Drosophila melanogaster: one gene and its partners. The protein of the gene in region 1 interacts with the protein of each later gene in a pairwise test. Each region holds a gene or a part of one and is shown in the gene's direction. Other genes may lie near its edges. The genes, in order: Ptp61F, saturn, Cyp9f2 and CG18539.

Region 1 (7,721 bases):
GGAAATACTGCTGTCATATTCTGACGGATTATGGCTATTATTGCCCTATTAGAGCTCGATGTTAATAAAAATTACAGTTATTTTAAAGATGGCTGCCTGAGCGAATGCACCCAGTAAGAAACTAGAGATGGGCGATCGCATAGTTATTTTGGCCGTGACACGAGAATAACAAGTCTGACACGAAATATTTATTCATACCTTATTGTTTTTCCAAATCACACTGCAAGTGATCTCGCACGTACGCAGCTCTAAAGAGTTTTTTTTTATTAATAGTGAAATGTATTATTTTACGTCTTTAGTTTCGATTTGTCTACGAAAGAAAGGGGTGTTTGAGCCATGAAAATATCGCCATAGGGATTGGTGGGTTTTTGGCTTTCGCGGTCGAATTCGGAGCCAATGGCCCACAGCGACTCCAGATCGTATTCCTCGCGAGCACTCGGTGAAAATATGTGCAGGGCAATGTTGCCTAAAAGGAAACGGAACGTGTTAGAGCGGAGAAACCGGAATATGCATTTATTTCAATACCCACCCAAGTCCATGGCCATCCAATCCCGGCTCTTATCGCCCTCGATGCGCGGCAATATGTCACCCTTGCCCCGCTTGATCTTGAACATTCGGCGCACGAACTCCGCGGTGGACAGCATGTGTCGGTAACTGCGACCACTGCAAACCACCAGGTGGTCAACGTACTTCAGGTTCTCCGGCACGTAGCAGACGAATATGTCGTCCACATTCTCCTTGCGGAGCAGCTCCACCAAGTCCTCAACGTCGAACACTCCGCGAACACCTCCTGCAAAGGGAAACAAAGGCTTAAATTTCTGCTCTCCCTGGACGATTGCCAACCTACGCTTTAAATTGAGGCCGTAATAGTGATCCAGCTCCAGGTCCGGCTCTGGAAGTTGCTGCTCCTGGTGGCGTGCCTCTTCCACATCAAAAATCTCCGTGGCTTCCTCATCGCGGAATATTTTGTACTTGTCTTGCACGCCGGCAACCAAAGTCTTTTCGGGATTGCCTTCGATTTCCTGGCCCTTCGCTGCCTGTTGTGGCGGCTTGGAGAACTCGTGGTGGAAGCAACGCAGGACAGGCACACTCAGGCGCCTGTCGTGCACTAGGCGGAACACGCGGGTCAGCATTTTGCTTTGGCTTCTTTCTGTTGTTATTAATAAATTGGGTAACAGTTGTTGATTCGATACTTTTGGTATTACTCGATAACACTGGTCAACGATGAGCGATTGTAATATCGGTATTTTAAAGTATTTGAACCCAATTTTCTTATCAGAATTTTTCTATTTTACTTTTAAAATATTTTATTTTATTTTTTTTATTTTATTTTTATTTAAAATATTTTATTTCAATTGTTTTTATATTGTTATGTCTTTAGTTAAGTATTTAATTTTATATAAATTATAGAAAACTTATCCCGAATGTTATATTATGTTTCAGTAAAGTTCTAATTTCTGCGCAAGCACTTTAGTTTCAGTATGTGTTCTATTGCTCTACAGCGCCTGGTCACATTATTTGATGGTGAAAATATCGATAGACGTAACTAATATTTCAGAATAATAATGTCGCAGATACAATATATTGTGTTTGGCTTGCATTTGTAAATAGGAATCACCATAAGAGAATATAATATGTAATGCGATCAATATAGTGATGTACAATCGAACTATCACTCGGTATCGCACTGCAAATACCGATAGTATTTCGCAAGCTCAAATATTCGATACATCGACACTGTCGTGAGTTGTCCAGCTCTAGTTCTCCTCTGAAATTAACCAGCCGCCTGATAACCAAATTAAAAGTTATTAAATCGGAACAAATCGCAGCAAAGTGTGCACAATGAGCGAGCAGAAAACGAGTGGGAGTGGGTCGGCGGCCGCTGCCCGTCTGCAAATCGAGGCGGAGTACAAGGACAAGGGGCCGCAATGGCATCGCTTCTACAAGGTAATTGGCAACAACAACTGCGACTGCACTGAAAACTGGTTACAAACTGGACGAATGATTGTGGCACAGTTCGATTCGCCAAGGATTCGCAACGGATGCGGAGTATACACCTTTCCACAGCTCCTTGGCGCTCCGATTTCCACGAAAATGTGATGAGTGCGCAAAAGGCTTCTGCAGATGCCTCCACCACCAACACCAGTGCAGCGGCGAGCTTTACGTGTGTGCGTGTGTATTGTGTGTCAGTGCTGTTGTTGTTGCAGTTGTTGCTTTAACAGCCAGGCTTTGGCCAAAAACAAAAACCCATGGAAAAGAATGTACAAACAGAATAGCACCAACACACATACACGCACACCTGCTGCACTTTACTTTGCATTCTCCATCGAACGCGTGTGTGTGTGAGTTCGTGCGTGTGTATTGGCCTGTATTTGGCATATTTATGCTTGTTATTCTGCCATACCTTTCCCCAAAAACGCTTTCCTTTGACTATCAATAGAGCGCTTGAGCTATTCCGCGAATTCTCGTTTGGCCAAATCAAATTGGAGGCGATTTCTGGGAAGCTCGTTGTGTTTGTGATTGCCGTCCCCCAAAAACAAAATACAATTCGTGGAGGGGTGACAGTGCTCTCCACTGAAGAACTCCTCTAACGCGCGCACACACACACACACCCGCTCGCGTTGAGCAGGAGAGAGAGGCTCACGCACACAGGGGCACAAAGGGCATGCGTCTGGTTTTTTGAGTCTCGCTTTGGGCTGCTTCTGGTTGCCTGTCGGAATTGGAGTCGGAATCCTCTCCTTGCCCCTTCTTCTCTCCTCCTCCACCTCCACTCGTTCTTTATAGCCAGTTCCGGCGAACTGTCTTCAGCTGCTACTCCTCCTCCTCTGTTCCTCTGTGCCTCTTTCAGCGCTTCCACTCACTTGAATTGGGATTTCACGGAATTCCACTCCGCAGTTAGGATGACACAGTATATGGTCGTGTGTAGAAATATCTCGTTTCTGGACCCGCTCCTCGGCATCCTCGTTCGTCATCCTTTGTGCTCGCGTCGAGGATAATCTAATTTTCCAGCTAACTGGAAGGCAGCCCGCAATTGTGCGTCGAAACTGACTGGAAAATAGCTACCAGCCATTTCCACTGAAATACAGTGCAACTTGACTAAGACGATCTTGTTAGGCCAAAGTGAGATTTCAATAAACTTTCTTTAATCATATTTTCTCATTAAATCATAAATAGTTTTCAGCTTGATAATATTACTTTCGTGAAATTCATCTAAATTCGCTGAATTTTATATGTTCCATAGCATGTAAACGTTGACTCATTTTTGTTGCAATGAAAAACAACTATGATCAATGTGAAAACATCACATTTTTCGATGATTACTTTATGAATAAGACCGACCTACCCCAATTTTTACTTTAATAACATTTAGCTGTGCATGCTACTACATTTCTGAAGAAAATTATAATCCATTATAGGCACTTATCTGTCTTTATTATAGAAATTCCAAAACACATTCTTCTAAGAATTAATAAATCGCAAATATGTGTGAACATAAACGGTACAACTAATTTTGTGGTTATCATTAAAACTTCCAATTTATTTGACATTTGCCATATGATAGCCCATCATAGGGGATTTGGACTGTAGCCAAAAACGCAGTGACGCATTCGGACCGTATTGTTTTGCTATGCTTTGCTTTATGTTTAATCATTTCCATTGAACGAAGTGCGTTACACTGGGTCTTCTCAACTCGCCGCCCCTCCCCGCCTATCAGCTCATACCTAGCGCCTTCTCGATCCATCCGTTCCATCAACATCCCACCCAACCCACTCCGTCCCATTATGACAACCTCCGTGGACTGTGACGAAGCTCCTCCACAGCTATACCCTGCCAGAGGGTGTTATAGTCCTTACCAGTCGTTGGTATCAACAGGTGACCGTCTTCTTTTTCGTTTCTCTGGAAACAGTCAAGCCAGATTTTATGAAATATGAAACTTGTTAACTCGCATAGTGTGTGTGAAAGGGTATGTCAAATTCGTATTGGCCAAGAAGTCTTTATCCATCGTTGCAATTGTGCTCTGCGTGCATGCAATGTTTTTGTTACTGTTTCTCGATTTCCTTCGAGCGTTGCAAGGTAAAGCAGAAACATAATAACCATAAAACGGTTTGCACGACACGCTTTGGAAACCAAAGCCCCCGAGATTTCCGCGCCTTCGCTTGGATTTCGCCACTCCGTTTAGAAGGGTCACCTGGATAGCCACCGAGCATAAAAAACAGTATGTAGCTGGTAAACGGCCCAAGACTTAATGTTCAACGGAGCCGAAGAACTGTTTTCTCCATCAGAATGAATCCAATCCAAGCTATGGATTTACATAAGTTCCGGATGGATTGTTGATTTTATATATCATATCTAGTTTGATATAGTACAAGGAATACAACTTTATACATCATAAGTACACTGAAAGTCTTTATCATTGGCAAACATTTAAATAAAGCAGCTCAATTATCTGCGCGTATTCTCACGTGACTCGTCGATTATCAGACCTTAAATAGGTGATTGTAGAAATGCTATTGAGTTGAGGAGTTTCGAGAAATATTAAGTGCAACCATGGATTTCTTTCCGTTTCTAATTACGAATTATCAAATGTAGCGATAGCCATTGAGATTTTGCTCTTTGAAAAGCTTCCTTATCGGTCATTAGCCCGTCTCAGATTTGGAGATTACGTAAAAATATGACTCTTTAAAGTTATTTCATAACAGGTCAGCTGCAGAATTTGCAGCTGATTCATTGTTGAAACATGACGAACTGACAATTAACAACTGATTTTCGAGCTGCAATCAACGCGAGCTGATGGGTAACCATATTAAATGGTTACTCATCACCGCATGCATGTGATTAGCTTTGAGCCGAGTTTAAGGAGCACTTGTCGTCGCCAGGTGGTTGCCATTGACCTTGTTAACGGTTCGGTAGTCGGATTCGATGGTTCAATTGGCGGGGCCACTTTCAGCTGCGCCAGCAATTCCCCGTTCACACTGCTGATAATGCCGCACCGGTCATGCCCAAGATAATGCCATTACCGACAGCTTGCTTTGCCATCGCCATCACCAACATCGCATGGCTAATTAGTCACGCCCGCTATGTAGACTGGGTGGGCTTTTCATATGCCGCATGGTTCCCTCCCAGTCCGATGCCCCTTACATGTATCTACTATCGCTTCAATCGCAGGGTTTGCCAATCCGGAGGAGCCCCTTGTCGCTGGGCCAAGTGATGAATCACTGCAAAGGGGGCAACCCCCATGGAAAAAAACAAATTCGATTTCTGTAACATTCTAGCATTCTTCTAACAGGATCTTATCAATTCGTTTCTTGACAATTTGTTTGCGAGTCAGTCAAACAAATGTATCACTTTAAAACTAGTTATTATCAGACCATTATGAGTCTGAACGTTTTCATTTTCTCGGAACACAAATCGTAAAAAGCTTAATTGCGCCTTACAGTTTCTCAGTTTGTATGGTTCTAAAAGGAAGCTCTGATATTCGTTTTAACAATGCCATTCAATACTATTGTGCACTGCTATTTGCTGTTTGCTCTTGTATCGAAGAATTCGTTGGGTCATTTCATGCATAAATGTTTAATTAGTTTGAACTTTTGGTCTTATTACTGTCTTAGATAATTGAGTAACACGAAAACTATATTTTTTACGAATTTTGTACCAGAAAGAAGAGATCTTCCAGTAAGACACTATAGTAGTTGTCTTCTGGGGTCTGGAACGCTTAGGTAAATAGCGCAAATCTCACAAAATCCCCTGAATTACCGCCTGCAAATTGACTGATAAGTTGTCAGTAAAGCGACCGAATTTTAATACCACCTCAACCTTTGTTGTTATGGGTAGTTTCGATTGTACTAATCGCTCTTTTCGGAATTCCAGGAAATTTGTGAGACCTGCGACCGGGAGGCGAAGGAGAAGCAGTTCAGCACCTCGGAATCGGAACGCCACACGAACCGCGGCCTGAATCGCTATCGGGATGTGAATCCGTACGATCATTCCCGCATTGTTTTGAAGCGCGGCAGCGTAGACTACATCAATGCGAACCTGGTTCAGGTGGGTCACGTTTTTAATGCATACACACACCCCTAATTAAACGCCTAATGCGATCAATCAATCCTTTCTAGCTGGAGCGCGCCGAGCGCCAGTACATCCTGACCCAAGGACCGCTGGTGGACACAGTGGGCCACTTCTGGCTGATGGTATGGGAGCAGAAGTCCAGAGCAGTTCTCATGCTCAACAAGCTGATGGAGAAGAAACAGATCAAGTGCCACCTCTACTGGCCCAACGAGATGGGAGCCGACAAGGCCCTGAAACTGCCCCACGTCAAACTCACCGTGGAGCTCGTCCGTCTCGAGACCTACCAGAACTTTGTGCGGCGATGGTTCAAGTGAGTAGAACTCTTTATTCTTCTTCTGCTTCAAACCATTTGTACATGTGGACTAATTGCCTTTGACTATTTCTCTAGATTAACCGATCTCGAAACGCAGCAGAGTCGTGAAGTGATGCAGTTCCACTACACCACATGGCCGGACTTTGGCATTCCCAGCTCGCCGAACGCATTCCTTAAGTTCTTGCAGCAGGTTCGCGACTCCGGCTGCCTCAGCCGCGACGTGGGTCCAGCCGTAGTGCACTGCAGTGCCGGAATCGGGCGGTCGGGCACCTTCTGCCTGGTGGACTGTTGCCTGGTACTTATCGACAAGTACGGAGAGTGCAATGTGTCCAAGGTGCTCTGCGAGCTGCGCAGCTACCGCATGGGCCTCATACAGACCGCCGACCAGCTGGACTTCTCCTACCAGGCGATCATCGAGGGCATTAAAAAGCTGCACGATCCCGTATGTATGCGCGACCAGCGGTCGGCGTTTGGGAGTCAAACTTGGGGGCTGCCAAGCACCGCCGTATATATTGCACATCGCTATTTATTCTGGGGGGTCACAGAAATCTCTGGGCTTGGTTATGGTTACTAGAATTCATATTGTTTAATGGAATTATGATTACTTTTGAAAACTGTATTATGTTTAGTTTTGTTTTTTATTATGTGATCTAGTATCAGCTTAATGATTATTGTTTAATTGATGCGAAAAAGAAACCATTGTTTTTGGTTTGCAGAGATTTCTGTGAAGGCCCTGATTATTTTCCGCGACTAATTAGAACATTTGATTTCTCTTCAGACCTTTCTTGACGCTGAAGAACCCCTCATTAGCAACGACACAGAGACTCACACACTGGATGAGCTGCCGCCGCCATTGCCCCCACGCGTCCAATCGCTTAATCTGCCACTGGCCCCCAATTCCGGCGGTATACTTTCGCTCAATATGCGCGCGGCCCAGGCTAATGGAGCTGAAAGTATCGGCAAAGAGCTGAGCAAGGACGCCCTGAACAACTTCATTAATCAGCACGACATGATCCACGATGCCGAGGTGGCCGACAGTCGTCCCTTGCCGCCATTACCCGTAAGGGCTTTCAACGATTCGGACAGCGATGAGGATTACTTGCTGGATGACGATGACGAGGACGACACCGATGAGGATGAGGAGTACGAGACCATTAACGAGCACGATGCCGATCCAGTTAATGGACACGTGCCCGCGACAACACAGCCACATGCCGACGATGTTAATGCCAACAACGAGAAGCCAGCGGTGCCAGTCGACGAGCAGCACAAGGCGAACGGCATCGATCCAATTCCAGGCCAGCTCCCAGCCAGGTAAGAATCTAGTCTTAGATCTGCTCAG
Region 2 (3,500 bases), about 13 Mb from region 1:
AATTATACAGTGATGAGTGTTACCTAGTTATAGCTAGAATAAATCATTTATTTAAATAACAATTTTATATAATTATATTGGCAATTTTAAATAATTCTAAATAACTGCCTATATAAATATTTGGAAAATTAGGCGTAAATTTCATTCTATATATGAACTTATATAAAAGAAAATAAGATGATTAGAAAGATTGCTATATTGCTATGTTTCTATTGCGGTTAAAACTGAACCGAATAAGACTATTATTAGATATCCCAATTGATAAAAATTTTTCTTACAGCAATCCTGATAGTTTATCCCAGCGTCGTTGGGGATCCATGAGACAGTAAGCACCCTTGAATATAATTTCTTTCGGGGTTTCATGTAGAGCTTCATATAAATCATAACCCCCATTCTTGCTCCATTTTGGTTTTGGTTTTTTGATTTGTAAATAAAAATATTTATAATTTATCTTAATTAAAAAAATTATTGGTGCACTGCTCCTTAAAAAATATATATATATAGTTTTTAATTCAGTATTTGTCCTCATCACATTTGATGTTTTCACAAGCGTTTCCATGACTTCGCTTATCTAAGATTGTTAATTTCAGCTATAAGTTGCCTTTGGTTTTTTTCCCAATTTTCCATTAGCTGGTTTGCTCAATTGCTTGTTTTTCTTCTGCCTAAATTAGTTATCAGTTTTTCCCATCTTATTCGCCTGTTTCAATTGTTGTACAACTACATAGATGTTCAATTGGGCAATTTTCAAGAGCTTTCCTAACGCTGCCACCCCCAAAAACTAAAATTTATGATTATTGCCGGCGGGGGAGGCTGTCATAAAAGTTACAACCGAAAAAAAAATTGCTCTCTTTTCTGGGACTTAATTGCAACTGAAACCAAAACGAAAGTAAAATAAATATATCAGATTAACAGCATGAGATTTATGTTAGTACAATGAGAGAGCTCCAAGATGGAATCTGCTGCAATTTATATAACTTCCTTTGGCAGTTCTGCTTGTCAACTGGCGACCGTGCTTCCTGCTGCCATCTTCTTGAGCCAAAAGTAGTTTGGCCGCTTTTGTGAACTTTTCTCGGGGACCGAGCGAAAAGGTTGAAGGTAGAAGATGCGGGTCTTTTCTTGTCTCCCCTCAATTTAGCCAACTCCTTCCCTCTTGATGTGGCTTACAAGTTGGCTGACTCGATGGGGTTGTCATGCTGTTGGAATTTATTTTTTCGCTCATCCGATCGGAGGAAGTGAAGTGAGAGGGTTCCAGAAACAGGTTTAACTTGCCGCAATTGTTAACTCTTCAGAATTTAGGCCGGCACTTTTGTCAAGTCGCGAACAAAATTTGACCCAAAATAAAACTCAGTCTGCTGATGTTATCGATTCTGACACATTTATCTCGTATCGTTATGTACTGTTATATACTTTTGATCATTTTGATCATTAAACTAAGGCTGTAATAGTTAGATCATTACTAGAGCATCGATCAATATCGATTAGCATTTCAATTATTAAACAAATTTTTTTCATAAACATTTCTTCGAAAATTATGCACGAAATCGGATAAAGTAATTAAAATCGTCTGCATTTAAGGCGTGTGCAAATCAGTTAACCCCACGCAGGCTATAAATTGTGGTTGCTCTGTCAACTTTCCGGACCTTGATGTTCTTCCCATGGCTTCTACTCTTTTCGAAGCAACTACAACTTGGGCCGACTTGAATTTGTCATGCAAATGCCTTTGTTTTTGCTCCGCTGCTGGGAACATGTTTTTCCCACTCTCTGCACTTGGCATTCAAAAAAGCTGCACTGGGAAATGGTGGGGGAAAATGCATTAAAGAACCGAGAACAATTAGGGAAAATTGTGGGAAGAGGTTAAAGATTTTTATCTGAAAAAGGAAAGGGAATGAGTGGAATTCTACAATTATTTTCTTTAAAAGAACGAATATTTTTCCACATAGGAACATTTTAAATGTTGTCATTTGAATTCAGTCTAGCAAGCAAAGAAAATACTTTTCAAATCACATTATAAAAGTGATAACATCACCGGTTGGTTATCCGTTTTAATACAACCTAAATTACAGATAGAAACTAACAAAAAGTCAGGCCCAAAATGTGGAACTATCGTCAGAAAGTTGATTTGGAAACATCGGTAAAGATATCGCCGTATTGCAATTCTTGGCCATCGGCTTGTTGGTTTACTCTTAAAGGCATTGATTTGTTGAAACTTCTGGTATTGGAAAGATCACCAACTTACCTGGTGATTCTTACGATTGTCCTTATCGTACTCCTCTTACTTGTATTTAAAAGATTCAAACACAAATGGAACGATGTAAGTTAAAGGGGGGGGAAAACGTACAGTAGAAGGGGCTTAATAGGGTTTTGTTCTAGGTGCCTATGTCGGAGATTGAGTCACTGAGAAAACGTGTTAAGTTTGTAACCAAGGATATGGCCATGCTGCAAGAAGCCCTAAATTCGACCGTAATACCCAAGCCGCCGCTAGCGATTTCTGATGATATTAGGAGTAATATTAATTACTTGGATGAACCAGAGTCCAACGCAAATGATGACAAACTTTCAGAATTTAAAGAAATCTTTGATCCTTTCCCCCCAGAATTCGACAAAATTAGTGAAACTAAAGCGCTAGTACGAGAAGAAAATAAACCGGAGCCTGTGATTCCAGACGCCGAACCTCGAGAAGATTCCGTAGTAAAAAATAGGGTGCGATTTGCTCTAACAGATCAGGGAAAACCAGCCAAAGATGAGACCAAGCACATTAATATAGCGAAACCCACGAAGATTATAGCTGAAAATAATGTATCCGTGGAAAATAGAAATATGCGTAAACGGTCATCTCCTTCAAACACGAAAACGGGATGGAAGCTCTAGATCTATTTTCAGGAATTTTCATATTGAAATTTCATTAAAATTGTAGTGCTCGAATTTGTAATAAACCATTCATAGTGATTTGTATAAAACTTGTTGTGATCGTAATTCATTATAGCCCTATGCCAACCTTGACATCTTGCCTTCGCAAGCGTTTTGGCTTTAAGTGATTTCCAATTGTCTTTCGTGGTAATTTTCACCTATTTCATTGTGTATCTCTGTTTTCCCGTGCATAGTTCCCAAGTCTACGTGGTTGGCCCTCAATTAGCCTTAAAGGTGGCCGGCTGCCTAATCGAGGCAGTTTCCAAGCCACTTTGCGGGGGCCCAACATTGTTTGGCAGTTGGCTTGCATTTCTTGGCTATTTGGCAGACCTGGCGACAATTTCCCGTTTTTTTCCCCCTGCATGTATTTGAATTATTTGGCAGCTGAAAACGGCTTGAAAGTACGTCTGTCGCCAATTTGGCTTCGGTTTTAGGTAATTGCCATCTATCTAATAGGTACATGAGAATGTTTATTGTTGGCCAGATTTGTAGATGTTGCATAGTTTTAGTTTTTAGTATCGCCGAACAACATGTTGGCAGCAAACAAGTTGCATGGGAAAGTGTATGGGATTGTAAAAGAGTTGCCAGATAAA
Region 3 (4,857 bases), on another chromosome or scaffold:
TGGGGTACTTAAGCAGCAGCTGGCGGCCAAAGGAGAACTTGGCCATAATGCCAATGATAGAGGCGAAGAGCACGACAACGCTGGCCGCAAACCATGAGGGATACGTCATGTAGGCCTGCATCTGAACGGGTCGCTTCTTCTCCAGTTCGTAAAGGAAACGCTGCGAGCGCATCACCACCGAGCGATCTGTTTCAGGGAACGGCAGGATCACCTTGTTGTCCACTTCCGCGGCACGGGAAAGCGGCGATCGTGACTTAAGAGCCGGATGAAAGTTGGGCAGACGCTCGGGAAACAACTTGCGCCGGATGGCCACAGACTCGCTCCGGTTGGCGATAGCGTGAATGGCGCTCTCCCAGGTGCCGGTGTTGAGTGCAGCACTGCCCGTTCCCTTGGTACCTCCCTTGACGCCCAGATGGACAAAGTTCTCCACTGAGTTGACCACGCCGTCGAAGTTCTTCTCCACGAAGGTGACTCCCATGTCGGCGGGAATGGAATCAAAGCCGCACGCACTGATCACGTACACGCCACGCTCCTTGGCGAGATCATGGTAGCGCAGCTGCATGGTTTCCATGTACTGTGGCTCTCCGCTTACGTCTACGTGATGCGTTCCCGCCTCGATGCAAGCCCTGACCACTCGCTCGCCGAAGAACCGATATGGTCCGGCCGTATTGACTAAAATGCGGCAGCGTTTGGCCATCTCTAGCAGTGACGCCTCGTTGTTCACGTCCGCGATGACGATCGGCGTTTGGGAGAGGTCTGTCTTGGACTTTGCACCCATCTCCCGCAGCACCGACTGCAGCTTCTCCTGGTTGCGTCCGGCGATGCCCCATTGCAGGCCCTTCAGCACGCTGACAGCCTCGAAGACGGTGTACTTTCCGGTAAACCCGGAGGCACCGAAGATTATGGCATCCAGTTTCTTAGCCGCCATTCCAGAGTCCACAGATATGCGACTATAATGATTTGACTAGAAATGTCTTATCACTTCCAGACCGAAAGGTAATTCGTCTGCTTCGGCCGACTGGCGAAATGTTAATAATGCTAATCGCACCGTATAAGAGCTGTATTTATTGAAGATAGTAGCGTCGTGACTGTACAAAACTGAATCGAACAGGTAAAGATCGATTGCAGATAGCAACAAGTGGCTAGTAACTCGGATAATGAAGTTGAAATGAAATAAAATATTTTTACTAGAAACTATTGAAAATGAAAATGCTTTGCGTCCTTTTTTATCGATGATAATTTAATTTATGGTGATGATGGTTTAATTTACATCCTAATACTTAAAATCCCTCAGATCAAATTGTTAGTTCTCGAACTACTACGCATAAACTTCGATAGCCAACAAGAAATCGATGAATTTTAAAACGATAAATTGGCCAAGTTTAAATATATGAATTTAATGAAGTTGTGTGCCATTAAAATAGAAAAAATATATATTAAAGAATTAGAAAACAGAATTTCGAAATATTCTGTTTCTATATTTTAAACATAATATTGGTATGCTCAGAGTCGTCAGCATTTTCTCCAACACGCCGTGATAATGAAATGATGAGTGATATTCTAAATCATTTGCGCTCAGAAATTTGTACATACTTGTGTGTATTACAGACAACAAGTATTTTATCAAATGCAGTACACGAAGCTTTGTTAGAAAGCTCTGCGTGGGGACAACAAAACGCTCCCGATTGTTTGTGGCGTAGTTAGTTATATTCTGGACGCTTAGATCGCCAAGCTAGGGTCAACATGTTGTGGGAGTTCTTCGCCCTATTTGCGATCGCTGCCGCCTTGTTCTACCGTTGGGCGTCCGCCAACAATGATTTCTTCAAGGATAGGGGCATCGCCTATGAAAAGCCAGTGCTCTACTTTGGCAACATGGCCGGCATGTTCCTGCGGAAGAGGGCCATGTTTGACATAGTCTGTGATCTCTACACCAAAGGCGGAAGTAAGAAGTGAGTTAAATTCATTGATCCGGATTTAATAAGTTGATTACCTAATATGCATCCGGCTCACTTGCACTTGCACTTAAAACACGTTTGGAACAAGTGTGTATCTACTGGCCTCCAGCATTGCGTACAAGCCTATATAAAATCGTATGTCAAGGTCAGGCAATCAGTGATCTATCTATACACACATTTAGTGGGTGCGGCTGCGTTCGACTACGTTTTGAATATACAATTACAGAAATTCAGAAATACTCTATTATATTTTGTTAAGTCTTTTATCTAAAGCAGTGTGTAACTGCCAAGATAATTGGCGAAATGCTTGGTTCTATTAGTTTAGTTTGCCATAATCTTATCGATTATACGACAGCTTTAAATGTTGTTTGTCTCGGACGGCAAACTTGATAGGAAAAATAATTGATAAAGCTCCTGAAAAGTGCTATAACGATAAGGTTATCTAATTTATTAATTAACTTCATATTGGGGCAACTCTTTGTATGACTTTACCCTTTTTGTTACTTTATAAACATGCAATCATTATTGTACTCAGCCTTTTCAATTGGATTTAATGTACATATGATTTATTTATAGACCAATACGAGAAATCCGCTTTATAAATTTATAGTTTTCCAAAAAGAAATCGAGATGGGTTAATTGAAAATTCGTCGGATAGGTAATGAACAACGCTAGCCATGCATAAACTCGAATTTCTGTTATCGTTTTCTAAACTTGTTGAGCGCACGATTAATAATTTCTGATTTGATTTATCAGTGTGTGACTCACAAAAAGCTTATCGGTCATTAACATTATTATTTTTTTTAGATTTTTTGGTATCTTTGAGCAGCGACAACCACTTTTAATGGTGCGCGACCCAGATCTTATCAAGCAGATAACCATAAAGGACTTCGATCACTTTATCAATCATCGCAATGTGTTTGCCACCAGCAGCGATGATGATCCACATGACATGAGTAACCTTTTCGGCAGCTCGCTGTTCTCCATGCGAGATGCTCGGTGGAAGGATATGCGAAGCACTCTGAGTCCGGCATTTACAGGCAGCAAAATGCGTCAGATGTTCCAGCTGATGAACCAGGTGGCCAAGGAGGCCGTGGACTGTCTTAAGCAGGATGATTCAAGGGTTCAGGAGAATGAACTGGACATGAAGGACTACTGCACACGATTCACCAATGATGTGATCGCCTCGACAGCCTTTGGACTGCAAGTGAACTCGTTCAAGGATCGCGAAAATACCTTCTATCAGATGGGAAAAAAGCTGACCACATTTACATTCCTGCAGAGCATGAAGTTCATGTTGTTCTTCGCATTGAAGGGTCTTAATAAGGTTGGCACAGCATACACACATATCAAAAAAATATATTCCTTAATTTTAATAATCCTTGTAGATCCTTAAGGTCGAGCTTTTCGATAGGAAAAGCACTCAGTATTTCGTGCGTCTGGTGCTCGATGCTATGAAATACCGACAGGAGCACAATATTGTACGTCCCGACATGATAAACATGCTGATGGAGGCTCGTGGTATCATCCAGACGGAGAAGACCAAGGCATCTGCCGTTCGCGAGTGGAGCGATCGCGACATTGTCGCCCAGTGTTTCGTGTTCTTCTTTGCTGGCTTCGAGACTTCGGCGGTGCTGATGTGCTTCACCGCTCACGAGCTAATGGAGAACCAGGATGTGCAGCAGAGGCTATACGAGGAGGTACAGCAAGTGGACCAAGACCTGGAGGGCAAAGAACTGACCTATGAGGCAATTATGGGCATGAAGTATCTGGATCAGGTCGTCAACGAGGTTCTGCGAAAGTGGCCGGCGGCAATTGCCGTCGATCGAGAATGCAACAAGGATATCACCTTCGATGTGGATGGCCAGAAAGTCGAGGTCAAGAAGGGCGATGTCATCTGGCTGCCTACATGCGGCTTCCATCGTGATCCCAAGTACTTTGAGAACCCTATGAAGTTCGATCCGGAACGTTTTAGCGATGAGAACAAGGAGTCTATTCAGCCATTCACATACTTCCCCTTTGGCCTGGGTCAACGCAACTGCATTGGTAAGTTGATTGATTCAAAATTGTTCTTCGAAAAAATGTAAAATGTATTTATTATAGGTTCCCGATTCGCTCTACTTGAAGCAAAGGCTGTTATCTACTATCTTTTGAAGGACTACCGCTTTGCCCCTGCCAAGAAATCCTGCATTCCACTAGAGCTCATTACTTCCGGTTTTCAGTTGTCACCCAAAGGCGGCTTTTGGATTAAACTTGTTCAAAGGAACTAATCTTATAAACGATCAAAATAATAATATGTTTTGTTGAATGTTATGTTTTAAAGAAGTTGACATTATTAAATTTAAACAATTAATGGTAATTTGTTTCTTTGTTTTTAATTTATACCAAAAATGATAAAAAGATAGCATATACTTATGTCGTGACTCTACAAAACTGAATCGAACAGGTAAAGATCGATTGCAGATAACAACGAGTGGCTCGTTTACACGGTAACTCTGATAATGAAGTTGAAATTAAATAAATAATTTTTACCAGAAACTATTGAAAATGAAAATGCTTGGCGGAGTTTTTATCGATGATATCACGTTTAATTTACATCCTAATACTTAAAATCCCTCAACTTAAATTGTTAGTTCTTGAACTACTACGCATAAACTTCGATAGCCAACATGAAATCGATTGCTTTTAAAACGATAATTTGGCCAAGATTAAATATTTAAATTTAATGAAGTTGTGTGCCATTAAAATAGAAAAAAATTATTAAAATTTATTAAAGAATTAGAAAACAAAATTTCGAAATATTTTGTCTCTATATTTTAAACATAAGATTGGTATGCTTTATAAGTGCATAAGATACATGCAATTAATTTGTTTACATTTGCAACCGGCTGAGTTGACGCTG
Region 4 (2,929 bases), on another chromosome or scaffold:
GACAAATGCGTCTTTGAAGCCGAAGGTTTTCCGGATATCGTGCCACCTGGATTCTACAAGATTATTTTCAATTGTACCGGACCTGATCAGCCATCGTGGAGCTTTATCGGAATTTTTAAAATAATAAACAAAATGTTTTAGCTATGTAGCAATAAATATATATCAAATAAAATACGGCCAAATATTTTTTTAAATCCTTTAAAGCGAGCTTATACACGTGTTTTTCTGAATTTGAACTCGTATCTTCGTACATAGATAAATGTAATACAATGATGTAATAGAACATAAACAATAAAAAACAGAAATAAAAACATTTCCAAAATCAGAAACTAAATATATCAGTTACAATAAGCACATACTTATATAAAAAAGTTATGCGAAGTTTAAGTGTTTCAATGGACTATTCGTATTTAATGGCTGTAAATAGTTATATAATCATATACATTTAGGTACTGTGGGAAAGATCTGCAATAGTGTGATAAAATGCCGTGACAATGTGCACATTTTTTTTTATCAATGGACATGGCTATATAAGCATAAAGCCCGATTTCCCAATACTTAGTTTCATATTGTAATTATGTCTGTCCGGTGTTTTATTGCTGAACTTTGTATGGCACTCCTGCTCGTAGGTGAATGCCAAACGGCGGTAGGTTCACAGTTCATATCTTCCATATATCTTGTAATAATTTAAAGAATTATCCAGCGGAAATGGGACTACGAACCCATATCCATCGAAACCCACTCATCCGATGAGAGTTTAATAAAATTAGATATGAAAATTGAGCGAATCAATCGCGGAGTGTTTGGATTGACGCCAAGGTTGAGTGGAACTACGATACGACTGATGAAACCATGGTACGTGTGTCTTACTTGATAAGTTAGTCCTTTGAATAAGGATTGTGATTTTTCCGTAGGTCGAGGCCAATGTCCTTCGAAGCTCGACGGGAGATGTCAGCGACTACAAGCTGCTTCCTTGGGCCATTCCCAAGCAATCGCTATACGAACATCTGAACACCTATTACAAGGATGTTTCGATGAAGAACTTTAAGCACTGTTCCAATATTCCGCAATTCGAGGGTAAATTCCAACCGCCATTGCCAAAGCAGACCTATTTTGGCAACAAATGCGTGATCGATGGCGATGGGTTGCCAGAAATTGTTCCTGCCGGTTTTTATCTGATTGTGATCAAATGCTATGGACCAGGTCAACCCACATGGAACACTACGTCAGTTTTTAAAATCACACCCAAATTAATGTAAAAACCATTATCTTAGATAAACACATTTTTTTTTTAACTGCGCTTATGTTTAATAAAATCAATGGTAAAAATTTGAAATATTTTAGCTGTTTCGATAAGAAATGAGTGTCCTTGAAGGAGGTAAGAAATATTCAAGAAAAATTCAAGATCAGTAACAATTACTAGTGGAAGAGAATTTTCAGTTATTGTGTAAAAAAATTCACATTTCTCAAATACTTAATATACATTTGTAAGTTTGCTCAATTGTAGCTAAAGACCAACCAATAAACAAAATTCATATTTAATATTCAAAGTCCACACATTTTTTCATGTTTTTGGCATGCAGTCTTGTTTGACATGGTTAGCCCAAAATGTAACAGGGAGTTATATAATTAATACATGCAATCCACTGCAGTTTGCTATATAAATGCAACTAAATTGCAAGTTGATGAAGTTTAAAGTCTGGCTAAATGATTTCGTGTTGTTCGTTGCTATTTTTGCTCGCTACGCTGCTGATCGATGGCTGCAAAGCAGGAGTATGCCAGGATATTCTAACAAAATAGGATACTTATAATTTCTGTGCTCATTCCACAGCGTAACTGGGAGTATGAGCCCTTATCATTGACATCCTATAGCTCAGATGAGAGTCTCTTGAAGATCACCACAAAAATTGATCGACTTGGGCGCAGCGATTATGCATTTTCCATGACACTGGACTGGAACTACGATGTGGATAAGGACACTATGGTTGAGATATTGATTTTAATATCAAGTTTCTATTAATTAAGAAAATGGTTATTAATCGCTGGACAGGTGGAGGCAGACGTTCATCACTGCTCATCGGGTGACGAAGACGATTACAAAATGATGCCCTGGTCCATTCCTAAACAGCCATTTTTCGAATATCTAAACGGTTTCTACAAGGACGCGTTCATCAAGAATGTGGGCCATTGCTCCAATATGGTGCAGTTCGATGGCGATTTTGTGCCACCATGGCCACGAAATGTTTACAAGTTGGACAAATGTGTGGCCAGTGGCGAGGGACTGCCAGATATTGCACCAGAGGGTTTCTACAAGCTAGAGTATAAAATGACAGGACAGGTGGATTGGGGTTTCACCCTGATTGTTAAGGTCTCGCCAAAGGTTATTTAATATTATATTATATGCGGCTCTTAAGAAGTTCAAACATTTTTTTTTCTACTTAACAAATTGTACTATGTTGTGTAAAATGAATTTATATTAAATTGTATTAAATTAATATTTATAAAATTTATATTTTTGTATTTTATTTACAACGAATTTATCGTCTACATTATCAACTTCTGCATATCCAAATATGAAAGAAAATTTTTTTAGCCAATGCAAGCATGACTTGCGCGTTGTGTATTTGTGTAATTTGCTAAATTTGGATGGGTGATACCGTGACGATCAGTAAATTTAGATAAGCTTGACATGATTTACACCTATTCCAACTTCAATAATCTAACAATGTGCACAATTGTACACAATGTTTTCGTGTCACAAATGTTTTTAAAAGATAAATCTAAATTGACAGACTATAAAAGCAAGTAGGTTGCAACTTATATTGTCAATTTAACCAGAAATGATTTCGTTTTGCATTTCATCGCTTTTATCAGTGTGTATTTTTGCAAACCTTTACAATGGTTGTGCGGCAAAGGTATGCTAAGAAAG

What was found.
Region 2: the proteins of Ptp61F (region 1) and saturn interact in a two-hybrid assay, tested with the Drosophila melanogaster proteins (one large-scale study listed by BioGRID).
Region 3: the proteins of Ptp61F (region 1) and Cyp9f2 interact in a two-hybrid assay, tested with the Drosophila melanogaster proteins (one large-scale study listed by BioGRID).
Region 4: the proteins of Ptp61F (region 1) and CG18539 interact in a two-hybrid assay, tested with the Drosophila melanogaster proteins (one large-scale study listed by BioGRID).

What each region holds. Positions count from the first base shown.
Region 1 is NT_037436.4:1,344,598-1,352,318, reverse strand, and holds the start of Ptp61F (protein tyrosine phosphatase 61F), read left to right. Parts: upstream 1-1,719; 5' UTR 1,720-1,842; coding exon 1,843-1,947; intron 1,948-2,776; exon of another isoform or gene 2,777-3,120; intron 3,121-5,868; coding exon 5,869-6,042; intron 6,043-6,113; coding exon 6,114-6,376; intron 6,377-6,454; coding exon 6,455-6,821; intron 6,822-7,157; coding exon 7,158-7,693; intron 7,694-7,721. Other genes in the region: CG9166 (uncharacterized protein), read right to left, coding at 288-466, 530-790, 848-1,133. UniProt on the Drosophila melanogaster protein: Non-receptor protein tyrosine phosphatase. Required for maintaining dock/dreadlocks in its non-phosphorylated state. Negative regulator of InR/insulin-like receptor signaling through dephosphorylation of tyrosines when recruited by dock/dreadlocks.
Region 2 is NT_037436.4:14,201,342-14,204,841, forward strand, and holds saturn (saturn), read left to right. Parts: upstream 1-1,981; 5' UTR 1,982-2,092; coding exon 2,093-2,311; intron 2,312-2,370; coding exon 2,371-2,868; 3' UTR 2,869-2,953; downstream 2,954-3,500.
Region 3 is NT_033777.3:12,402,795-12,407,651, reverse strand, and holds Cyp9f2 (cytochrome P450 9f2), read left to right. Parts: upstream 1-1,623; 5' UTR 1,624-1,743; coding exon 1,744-1,949; intron 1,950-2,762; coding exon 2,763-3,282; intron 3,283-3,343; coding exon 3,344-4,001; intron 4,002-4,058; coding exon 4,059-4,225; 3' UTR 4,226-4,312; downstream 4,313-4,857. Other genes in the region: CG5167 (uncharacterized protein), read right to left, coding at 1-928; Sol1, read right to left, coding at 4,772-4,857. UniProt on the Drosophila melanogaster protein: May be involved in the metabolism of insect hormones and in the breakdown of synthetic insecticides.
Region 4 is NT_033778.4:18,296,493-18,299,421, forward strand, and holds CG18539 (uncharacterized protein), read left to right. Parts: upstream 1-1,688; 5' UTR 1,689-1,707; coding exon 1,708-1,773; intron 1,774-1,831; coding exon 1,832-1,984; intron 1,985-2,050; coding exon 2,051-2,389; 3' UTR 2,390-2,411; downstream 2,412-2,929. Other genes in the region: CG18537 (uncharacterized protein), read left to right, coding at 1-141; CG18538 (uncharacterized protein), read left to right, coding at 578-625, 704-859, 915-1,259; CG18540 (uncharacterized protein), read left to right, coding at 2,841-2,915.